2 linked regions of the Macaca fascicularis genome follow. The protein of the gene in region 1 binds, or shares a complex with, the protein of each later gene. Links are inferred from orthologs where the notes say so. Each region holds a gene or a part of one and is shown on either strand. Other genes may lie near its edges.

The links.
Region 2: the proteins of IL1A (region 1) and S100A13 are in contact, whole or in part, in an NMR structure (PDB 2L5X), measured with the Homo sapiens proteins. The link is inferred for Macaca fascicularis from reciprocal best matches to the Homo sapiens genes IL1A and S100A13. Residues at the interface, in NP_000566.3 of Homo sapiens: Asn148, Gln150, Tyr151, Thr194, Ala195, Gln196, Asp197, Leu203, Leu204, Lys205, Glu206, Met207, Gly216, Ser217, Glu218, Thr219, Asn220, His239; in NP_001019381.1 of Homo sapiens: Met1, Arg25, Gln26, Glu27, Gly28, Arg29, Lys30, Asp31, Ser34, Asp68, Ser69, Glu70, Lys72, Phe73.

The regions. Positions count from the first base shown.
Region 1 is NC_088387.1:19,783,837-19,788,502, reverse strand, and holds the start of IL1A (interleukin-1 alpha), read left to right. Parts: upstream 1-1,525; 5' UTR 1,526-1,576; intron 1,577-2,242; 5' UTR 2,243-2,250; coding exon 2,251-2,297; intron 2,298-3,256; coding exon 3,257-3,305; intron 3,306-4,185; coding exon 4,186-4,408; intron 4,409-4,666. UniProt on the Homo sapiens protein: Cytokine constitutively present intracellularly in nearly all resting non-hematopoietic cells that plays an important role in inflammation and bridges the innate and adaptive immune systems.
Region 2 is NC_088375.1:107,540,269-107,544,859, forward strand, and holds the start of S100A13 (protein S100-A13), read left to right. Parts: upstream 1-1,528; 5' UTR 1,529-1,661; exon of another isoform or gene 1,662-2,010; intron 2,011-2,617; 5' UTR 2,618-2,678; coding exon 2,679-2,831; intron 2,832-4,591. UniProt on the Homo sapiens protein: Plays a role in the export of proteins that lack a signal peptide and are secreted by an alternative pathway. Binds two calcium ions per subunit. Binds one copper ion. Binding of one copper ion does not interfere with calcium binding.

The sequences.
Region 1 (4,666 bases):
CTACCCTAGTCTGGTGCTACACTTACATTGCTTACATCCAAGTGTGGTTATTTCTGCGGCTCTTGTTATAACTATTATAGCACCAGGTACATGACCAGGAGAATTAGACTGGCATTAAATCAGAATAAGAGATTTTGCACCTGAAATAGACCTTATGACATCTAACCAATCCTATTATTTATAATTAAACAGGAACAGAGGGAATACTTTATCCAACTCACACAAGCCGCTTTCCTCCCAGATCCATACTTTTTTGCTTTTCTATACCATGTTTTAGTGCCTTGCCTCTTTTTTTTTTCTCTCCCTCTTCTACCTTGTTCTTCCATCCATTTCCTTTGTTTGTTTGTTTGTTTGTTTGTTTTTTTAGAGATGGGGGCTTCACTACGTTGCCCACACTGGACTCGAACTCTGAGCCTCAAGTGATCGTCCTGCCTCAGCCTCCTGAACAGCTGGCACTACAGGGGCATGCCACCACACCTAGTTCATTTCCTTTATTTAAAATATTTATGGTTTAAACTCCACCTGGGAACATCCATTTGCTAAGAGTCTGGTGTTCTGCCACCTGAACTAGGCTGGCCACGGGAATTATAAAAGCTGAGAAATTCTTTAATAATAGTAACCAGGCAACACCATTGAAGTCTCAGATGTAAAAATCCATGCCTTCCTTTCTCCCAATCTCCACTCCCAAACTTAGCCACTGGCTTCTGGCTGAGGCCTTAGGCATACCTCTAGGGGCTTTCACACACCTTCTTCTACAGAAGACACACCTTGGGCGTATCCTACAGAAGACCAGGCTTCTCTCGGGTCCTCGGGTCCTCGGTAGAGGGCTACTTTACTGTAACAGGGTCAGGGTGGAGAGTTCTGTCCCGAAGCTCTGTCCCCTCTCTAGGAAATGTGTTGACAATATTCAGAGGAGTAAGAGGGTCAAGACTTCTTTGTGGTCAAATATCACTTTTCTCTTCTCTACCCTGACCTAACCGGGAGCTTGTCACCCCATACTCTGAAGTGATTTATGCCTTAATCAAACAAACTTCCCTCTTCAGAAAAGATGGCTCATTTTCCCTCAAAAGTTGCCAGAAGCTGCCAAGTATTCTGCCAATTCACATTCAACCTGGAGCACGACCAACAGATTCAGCCGGAACACAACTCCAGCTACTATTAGAACTATTATTATTCATGAATTCCTCTCCAAATCTAGCCCCTTGGCTTCTGATTTCAGGATTTCTCCCTTCCTCCTAGAAACTTGATAAGTTTCCTGCACTTCCCTTTTTCTAAGACTACACATTTGTCATCTTATAAAGCAAAGCAGTGAATAAAGGAACCAAGTCAATAACTTCTGGAATATCTGCAAACAACAATAATATCAGCTATGCCATCTTTCATTATTTTAGCCAGTATCAAGTTGAATGAACGTAGAAAAATACAAAACTGAATTCTTCCCTGTAAATTCCCCGTTTTGACGACGTACTTGTAGCCACGCCTACTTAAGACAATTACAAAAGGCGAAGAAGACTGACTCAGGCTTAAGCTGCCAGCCAGAGAGGGAGTCATTTCATTGGCGTTTGAGTCAGCAAAGGTATTGTCCTCACATCTCTGGCTATTAAAGTATTTTCTGTTGTTGTTTTTCTCTTTGGCTGTTTTCTCTCACATTGCCTTCTCTAAAGCTACAGCCTCTCCTTTCTTTTCTTGTCCCTCCCCGGTTTGGTATGTGACCTAGAATTACAGTCAGATTTTAGAAAATTATTCTCTCATTTTTCTGATAAGGACCGATTCGTTTTACTGAGAGATGGCAGAATTAGCTTCCTGTGAGGGCATGGGGTGAATACAACTGAGGCTTCTCATGGGAGGGAATCTCTACTACCCAAAATTATTGGGAGAAAATTGAACATTTCCAAGTCTGTCTCTCCCTTACCTCTGTGTAAGGGAAACACCTTATTCTTGTGGTGTTTCTGTAACCTCTTCAAACTTTCATTGATTGAATGCCTGTTCTGTGCAATACATTAGGTTGGGCACATAAGGAATAACAATATAAATAAAACATTCTAAAAGAAGTTTACGATCTAATAAAGGAGACAGGTACATAGCAAACTAATTTAAAGGAGCTAGCAGATGGAGAAAATGCTGAATGTGGACTAAGTCATTCAACAAAGTTTTCAAGAAGCACAAAGAGGAGGGGTTCCCCTCACAGGTATCCGGGTTAGAGGCTGGCTGAGCTGACTGTGGCTGGTGTTCTCTGTTGCAGAAGTCAAGATGGCCAAAGTTCCGGACATGTTTGAAGACCTGAAGAACTGTTACAGGTAAGGAATAAGATTTATCTCTTGTGATTTAATGAAGGTTTCAAGGCTCACCAGAATCCAGCTAGGCGTAACAGTGACCAGCATGGGGCCAGGCCGGCAGAGGCTGGAGGAATGTGTACTAGTTCTGAAGTCAGAGCAGGTTCAGAGAAGACCCAGAAAGACTAAGCATTCAGCATGTTAAACTGAGATTACATTGGCAGGGAGACCGCCATTTTAGAAAAGTTATTTCTGAGGTCTGCTGAGTCCTACATGAATTTCAGCATCAACTCAGACACAGCCTCTGTTGAGATCACATACCCTGATATAAGAATGGGTTTTACTGGTCCATTCTCAGGAAAACTTGGTCTCCTTCAGGAATAGGAAATGACTCCACAGCAAGCTGGGCATGTGAACGCAGATACGCAGGCAAATCTCACTCATATGTAGAAGAAAGGTAAATGAACACAAAGATAAAATTACAGAACAAATTAAACTAACATGATGTTTCCATTATCAGTAGTCAATACTAATGCAAACTAGGCTGTCAAAATTTTGCCTGGATATTTTACTAAGTATAAATTATGAAATCTGTTTTAGTGAATACATGAAAGCAATGTGTAACATATAATCTATTTGGTTAAAATAAAAATGAAGTGCTTCAAAACCTTTCTTTTCTCTTAAGGAGCTTAACATTCTTCCCTGAACTTCAATTAAAGCTCTTTAATTTGTTAGCCAGGTCTAATTTTTATAGATAAAGCACAGGTAAAGCTCAAAGCCTCTCTTGATGACTACTAATTCCATATTAGTAAGGTATGAATTACTCTACCTATGTGTATGTGTAGAAGTCCTTAAATTTCAAAGATGACAGTAATGGCCGTGTGTATGTGTGTGACCCACAACTACCGTGGTCATTAAAACACGTTGGCCAGAGACCAAAGTGAAATAACAAACAATTACATTCTCATCGTCTTATTTGGCAGTGAAAATGAAGAAGACAGTTCCTCCATTGACCATCTGTCTCTGAATCAGGTAAGCAAATGACTGTAATTCTCATGGGGCTGCTATTCTTACACAGTAGTTTCTTCATCAAAAGAGAACAGCAATGACTTGAATCTTAAATGCTTTTGTTTTACCCTCACTAGACGTCCAGAGACCTGTCTTTCATTGTAAGAGAGACCAGCTGCCTTATAAAGTTGATGTGCATTGGCTTCTCCCAGAACAGAGCAGAATTATCCCAAATCCCTGAGAACTGGAGTCTCCTGGGGCAGGCTTCATCAGGATGTTAGTTATGCCATCCTGAGACAGGCCCCGCAGACCGCTTCACCAGGGGTCTGTCTCCTAACATGATGTGTTGTGGTTGCCCTCTCTGACACCAGCATCAGAGGTTAGAGAAAGTCTCCAAACATGAAGCTGGGGGAGAGGAAGCAAGCCAATTGAAAGTGAGAAATCTACAGCCACTCACCAAGCTGTGTCATTGTGTTTGGAGACCACAAATAGACAGTATAAGTACTGCCTGGTATGTCTTTGGTACTGGCTTTAAAAGCTGTCCCCAAAGGAGTATTTCTAAAATATTTTGAGCATTGTTAAGTAGATTTTTAGCCTCCTGAGAGGGAAGTAATTGGAAAGCTACCACTCACTACAATCATTGTTAACCTATTTAGTTACAGCATCTCATTTTTGAGCATGCAAATATATGAAAAAGTCTTCCTAAAAAAATCATCTTTTTACCTTGGAAGGAGAAAGGAAGGTGAGACAAAAGGGAGAGAGGGAGGGAAGCCTAATGAAACATGAGTTACCTAAGACCAGAATGGAGATCCTCCTCACTACATCTGTTGAATACAGCACTACTGAAAGGACTTTCATTCCCTGACCACGAACAGCCTCTCAGTTTCTGTTTTCCTTCCTCTAGAAATCCTTCTATGATGTAAGCTATGGCCCACTCCATGAAGGCTGCATGGATCAGTCTGTGTCCCTGAGTATCTCTGAAATCTCTAAAACATCCAAGCTGACCTTCAAGCAGAGCATGGTGGTAGTATCAACCAATGGGAAGGTTCTGAAGAAGAGACGGTTGAGTTTAAGCCAGTCCATCACTGATAATAACCTGGAGGCCATCGCCAACGACTCAGAGGAAGGTAAGGGGTCAAGCACAATAATATCTTTGTTTCACAGTTATAAGTAAGTAGGGACAATAGAATTTAGGGGAAAATTAAACCTGGAGTCAGAATAACAAGAAGACAACCAAGCATTAGTCTGGTAACTACATAGAAAGAAAATTAATTTTTATCCTTCTCCAGGAGGGAGAGATGAGCAGTGGCCTGAATTGAGAATACTTGCTCACAGTCATTATTTCTTGGCCATACTGTAAAGGTCATGTGACTTTTAGCCTTTCA
Region 2 (4,591 bases), on another chromosome or scaffold:
GATGGGAAAACAAAGAGGAAAGAATTGGGGGAAAGAGGAGTCAAGAGGTCTGGGCCAAAAAGGGGAGGAGGAGAAAGGGGAGGTCCTGTGGAGGTAGCGTTGGGAAGGGGTACAGCACCCTCCATCCCCCACTTCCCCATATCTTGGGAGCTTCGCCTTGCCACCCCCAGACTCCCCAGAGACCTGAGCTCTTGGCAAGGCAGGGTGGGGGTGGCAGAGACTAAGGCTGGCAAGAGAGGTGGGGGCAGAAACAGCTGTTGTATCTGCTCTCTTCTTACCCCACAGGAGGCGAGGCAGGGGAGGGCTGGGGCCCTTCCCAACACCTGGGAGACAGAGGGGGCCTTGGCAGGGACTTGAGGGCTCCCTGTGGGAGGGCCAGGTGGCCAGGAAGCTCTTGGTGGGTTCCCCACTGACTTCCTCCTTTGCTGAGCTGCCAGCTCTCTCTCCGACCTTCAGTTCATTTGTCTCTCATCACCACCTTCCAAACCCTGTCTCCCCCAAATCCCAAACTGCCCTCACTCTGACTGACTCCTCCCAGATCCTTAGTGCCCCACAGTGCTATGGGCCCCAGCCTCTTGGAGCCCTTCTGAAGACCCCTCTCCCCGAAGCTGGCAGGCCAGGGACTAGCCCGGTGGGGCAGGGTACTCACCGTCGGCCTGGGCCTGAGGTGGGAGCAGGTTCTGGACAGATAGCCGAGGCTGCAAATGTGGCTGCTGGAGCTGTGTGTGGAGACCTGTCTTCAACAGTCCCTCCCCCGCTGACCCCCCCACCGACTCCACCCCTTCACAGACGAACACCCTGTGGGGCAAGGGGCCAGGAGCAGACAGAGGCGCCCTCTGTCTCCTGGGCTGGAACAGGCGGCCCTTGTCTCTTTCCCAGCCTTGCTTGCCCCGTTCCCTGCTCTTTAGGCAGCAGTGGATGGTGCAGGGGAAAGAGGTGGGAAGGAGGTCCTGGGAGGGATACTGGTTGTCTCACCCCAAGCCGGGCCTTGCAGTACCTGCAGCTGACTGTGCTGGTTGACCCGGGTAAGGGGGGAATTCTGCTGAGGGGGTCTTAGTCTGTGGCTCCTCCATGGGGCCTCACTGAGAGGACCCTCAGTGAGTAACTTAGTCTTGGGAGTCTGAGAACCCACAGAGGGATTTCAATCCAGGACTCTTCTATGGGGGTCTCAACCTGGATCCCCCTGTGTGTGTGGGGCCTCAGCCTGGGGTTCTCTGAGGGATCTTGGGCTGTAGCATCCTTTGTGGGGTTTCATTCTAAGGGGCCTCCGTGTATGTCTCAGATTGGGCCTCTCAGTGTTGAGCTCCCTCAATTGGTTTCCTCCCTCTTCCCCCCTCAGCATACACACTCCTGATTAGACGTGGGGTGTGGTGGCAGCAGCCCCCAGTATTGAAAGGACTAGGACCCTGGGACCCCTGCTGAATGAAATCTGTCCAGACAGCTCCTCTCCCTGACCAAGTGGGGGCGCTCGTGTGGCTGGCAGGGAGCCCGGGTCCAGGCCTGAGGGTTCAGGGCAAGAGGCCTGATTGGGCTGTCTCTGGTCTTCAGAATCCACCACGGAAATTTGACACCTCCGGGCTTGTAAGCAGCTGTCTCCTTCCCTGCTGCTTATAAACCTCAGCCTTGAGACTCCAGCTCACTCCACCCCATCTCCTTGCCCGGTAAGTCTCATTGCCGACCCTGGAGGGAGCCTGGAGATCATTTTTTCTTCCTGGGCTCCCAGGTCCCTCCCCCAGAGCCGGCTCAGACAGGAATTCAGGAAGCAGCTTTGGATGATCGAGCAACAGTGCATGCCGGAGTGCGTGACGGGGGGACGGAAAAGAGAATGCCTCTTCCAGCCCCACCCACCGCACCCCAGGGGGCTGTGAGTGCCTGTACTAAACCCGTCGTGGGGCAGGGAGTCAGAGACACCCCGTTCCAGGACCCTTATCTCCCGATGGGGAGACAGGAGCGGGGAGGATCTGTGGGGTCCTGGGTTCAGCACTCTGCCCTGCTGCCCTGAGGAGAGAGGTAAGGGTGGATCCCGGCAGAGAAAATCGGTCTGTTCAGACGGAGCCAGCTCTGACCACAGGGGACATTTGCCAGACCCTGTGCTTCTCTGCTGGGAGAAGCGGTCAGAGTGTGTGTGGGCGGATGCGGGTGGCTGAAGACCAGGTCCCAACATAAACAAGCTTTGGAGACAAACAACCTTGTGACCTGTGAGGCTGGGTGAGACAAGAAGGGACTCTTGAGACAGACAGGCCACAGAGGGGCCACCAGACTCGAAGGACTCCAGGAAGGACCCTTAACTGAAAACCTCCTCTCAAGTAGAGAGGTCTCTAGATCGAGGCATCACCACAGACGGGTCCCTAAGCCACAGACATTTAAAAAGGAGCCCAGATTGTGAGACCTACAGAAGAGGGGGTTTCTGGAGCCGAATCTTCTGCCCCCACCTAAACTGAGATGCTGTTGTCTGGTCTGCTGCCCCAAGCTCAACCCCTGTCCTCTCCCTCTTTCCCTATAATGCCCTCTCCAGGCCAAGACCTGATGCGGTAACACCAAGGCAGGGGCCTTCTGAACCATTCCTGCATCTTGGGGCTCCATGACTCTCCCTCTCTGCTCCTCCTCTGTTCCACAGGTCAGCCCTGACAAAGGTCAGCTAGCCCCTTGAGGACATCAGCTTTGGCCTCAGGGTCCTAATGGCAGCAGAACCACTGACAGAGCTAGAGGAGTCCATTGAGACCGTGGTCACCACCTTCTTCACCTTTGCTAGGCAGGAGGGCCGGAAGGATAGCCTCAGCATCAACGAGTTCAAGGAGCTGGTTACCCAGCAGTTGCCCCATCTGCTCGAGGTAGGCAGAGGTCTGGTACTGAGATTTTGTGAGACGGTGATTATGGGACACTGTGTTTAGGACGTGATGGTGCCGAGTATGATAATGTGACCACAAGAAAGGATGTGGGTAGCTGCATGTATAAATGGTTGCAGGTTTTATTTATTATTTTTTTTGAGACAGAGTCTCACTCTGTTGCCCAGGCTGGAGTGCAGTGTTGCGATCTTGGCTCACTGCAACCTCCATCTCCAGGGTTCAAGTGATTATCCTGCCTCAGCCTCCTGAGTAGCTGGGCTTACAGGTGTGTGCCACCACACCCAGCCAATTTCTGTATTTTTAGTAGAGACAGGGTTTCACCAGGTTGGCCAGGCTGGTCTCGAACTCCTGACCTCAGGTGATCCACCTGCCTTGGCCTCCCAAAGTGCTGGGATTGGTTTTCTTGCCTGGTGTGTATGTGTGTGTGTTTGTGTGTGTATGCATATAATTAGATAAGCAAAGATACTATGTGCCAGTGGAAGTATGGGTTTGTATTAGAAGATGCTGTTGGGTTCTTGTGTATGTTCTGTGCCTTTCTGGTCTAATTTCCCCAAGACAGAACTGGACCCAGAGCTGGCTTCCACGAGATTCACAGACTGTCACAGCTGGAAGGAGGCCAAGAGAAAACACAGTCCGTGTTCCTCACTTCACATATATAGAAACTGAGGCCTAGCAATGGAAAGAGGCTTATCAAAAATGAAAACACAGCCAAATTCATGGAGTCATAGATGTCAGTGTAGGGGGTCTGTGGGATGCATCTGTGAAGACTCCCCACTCGCTATGGGCATCCCCTTACTAGGGTGTAAGACAGAGTCATTCCTTCTCTCCCACTCACAGGCTGGAGTCAGGTCTTAAATTTCATTGACTCTGGGCTCGAAGAGGCCTGGTCATTCCAGGCTGTTGACAGTTTGTTTTACGTCTTTTCTGAAAATCCACAGGCACATTGAAGTGTGTGAATATGGACTCCTTGAACACAGTGAGTCTCTGAAACTCATGGTCTTTCATCTGCAAAATCCCCTACAACTTCCAACTTCTCAGATTTTATTTTTTTTGAGACAGTGTCTCACTCTGTTGCCCAAGCCACTGTGCGATCACAGCTCACTGCATCCTTGACCTTCCAGGCTCAGGCAATCCTCCTGCCCCAGCCTCACAAGTAGGTGGGACCACAGGCACATGCCACATTGCCTGGCTAATGTTTTCTTTTTTTGAGACAGTCTCACTCTGTCATCGAGGCTGGAGTGCAGTGGTGCGATCTCGGCTCACTGCAACCTCTGCCTCCTGGGTTCAAGTGGTTCTGTTGCCTCAGCCTTATGAGTAGCTGGGATTACAGGCAACCGCCACCATGCCCAGATAATTTTTATATTTTTAGTAGAGACAGGGTTTCACTATGTTGGCCAGGCTGGTTTCGAACTCCTGACCTCAGGTGATCCGCCCACCTCAGCCTCTCAAAGTGCTGGGATTACAGGTGTGAGCCACCGTGCCTGGCCTAATTTTTAAGTTACTTGTAGGGATGGGGTCTCTCTATGTTTCCCAAGCTGGTCTCAAACTCCAGGCCTCAACTGATCCTCCTTCCTTGGCCTTCCAAAGTGTTGGGATTACAGGTGTGAGCCACTGTGCCCAGTCAGACATTTCCTTTCATCTTTTTACTGGAAAATTCAGTTTCTCTCCTGAAGGGACAGCATTCCTTATATCCTTGTCAAGCAGTGACTTTTTTTTTTTTTTTTTTTTTTCCCTAAATTCAACTT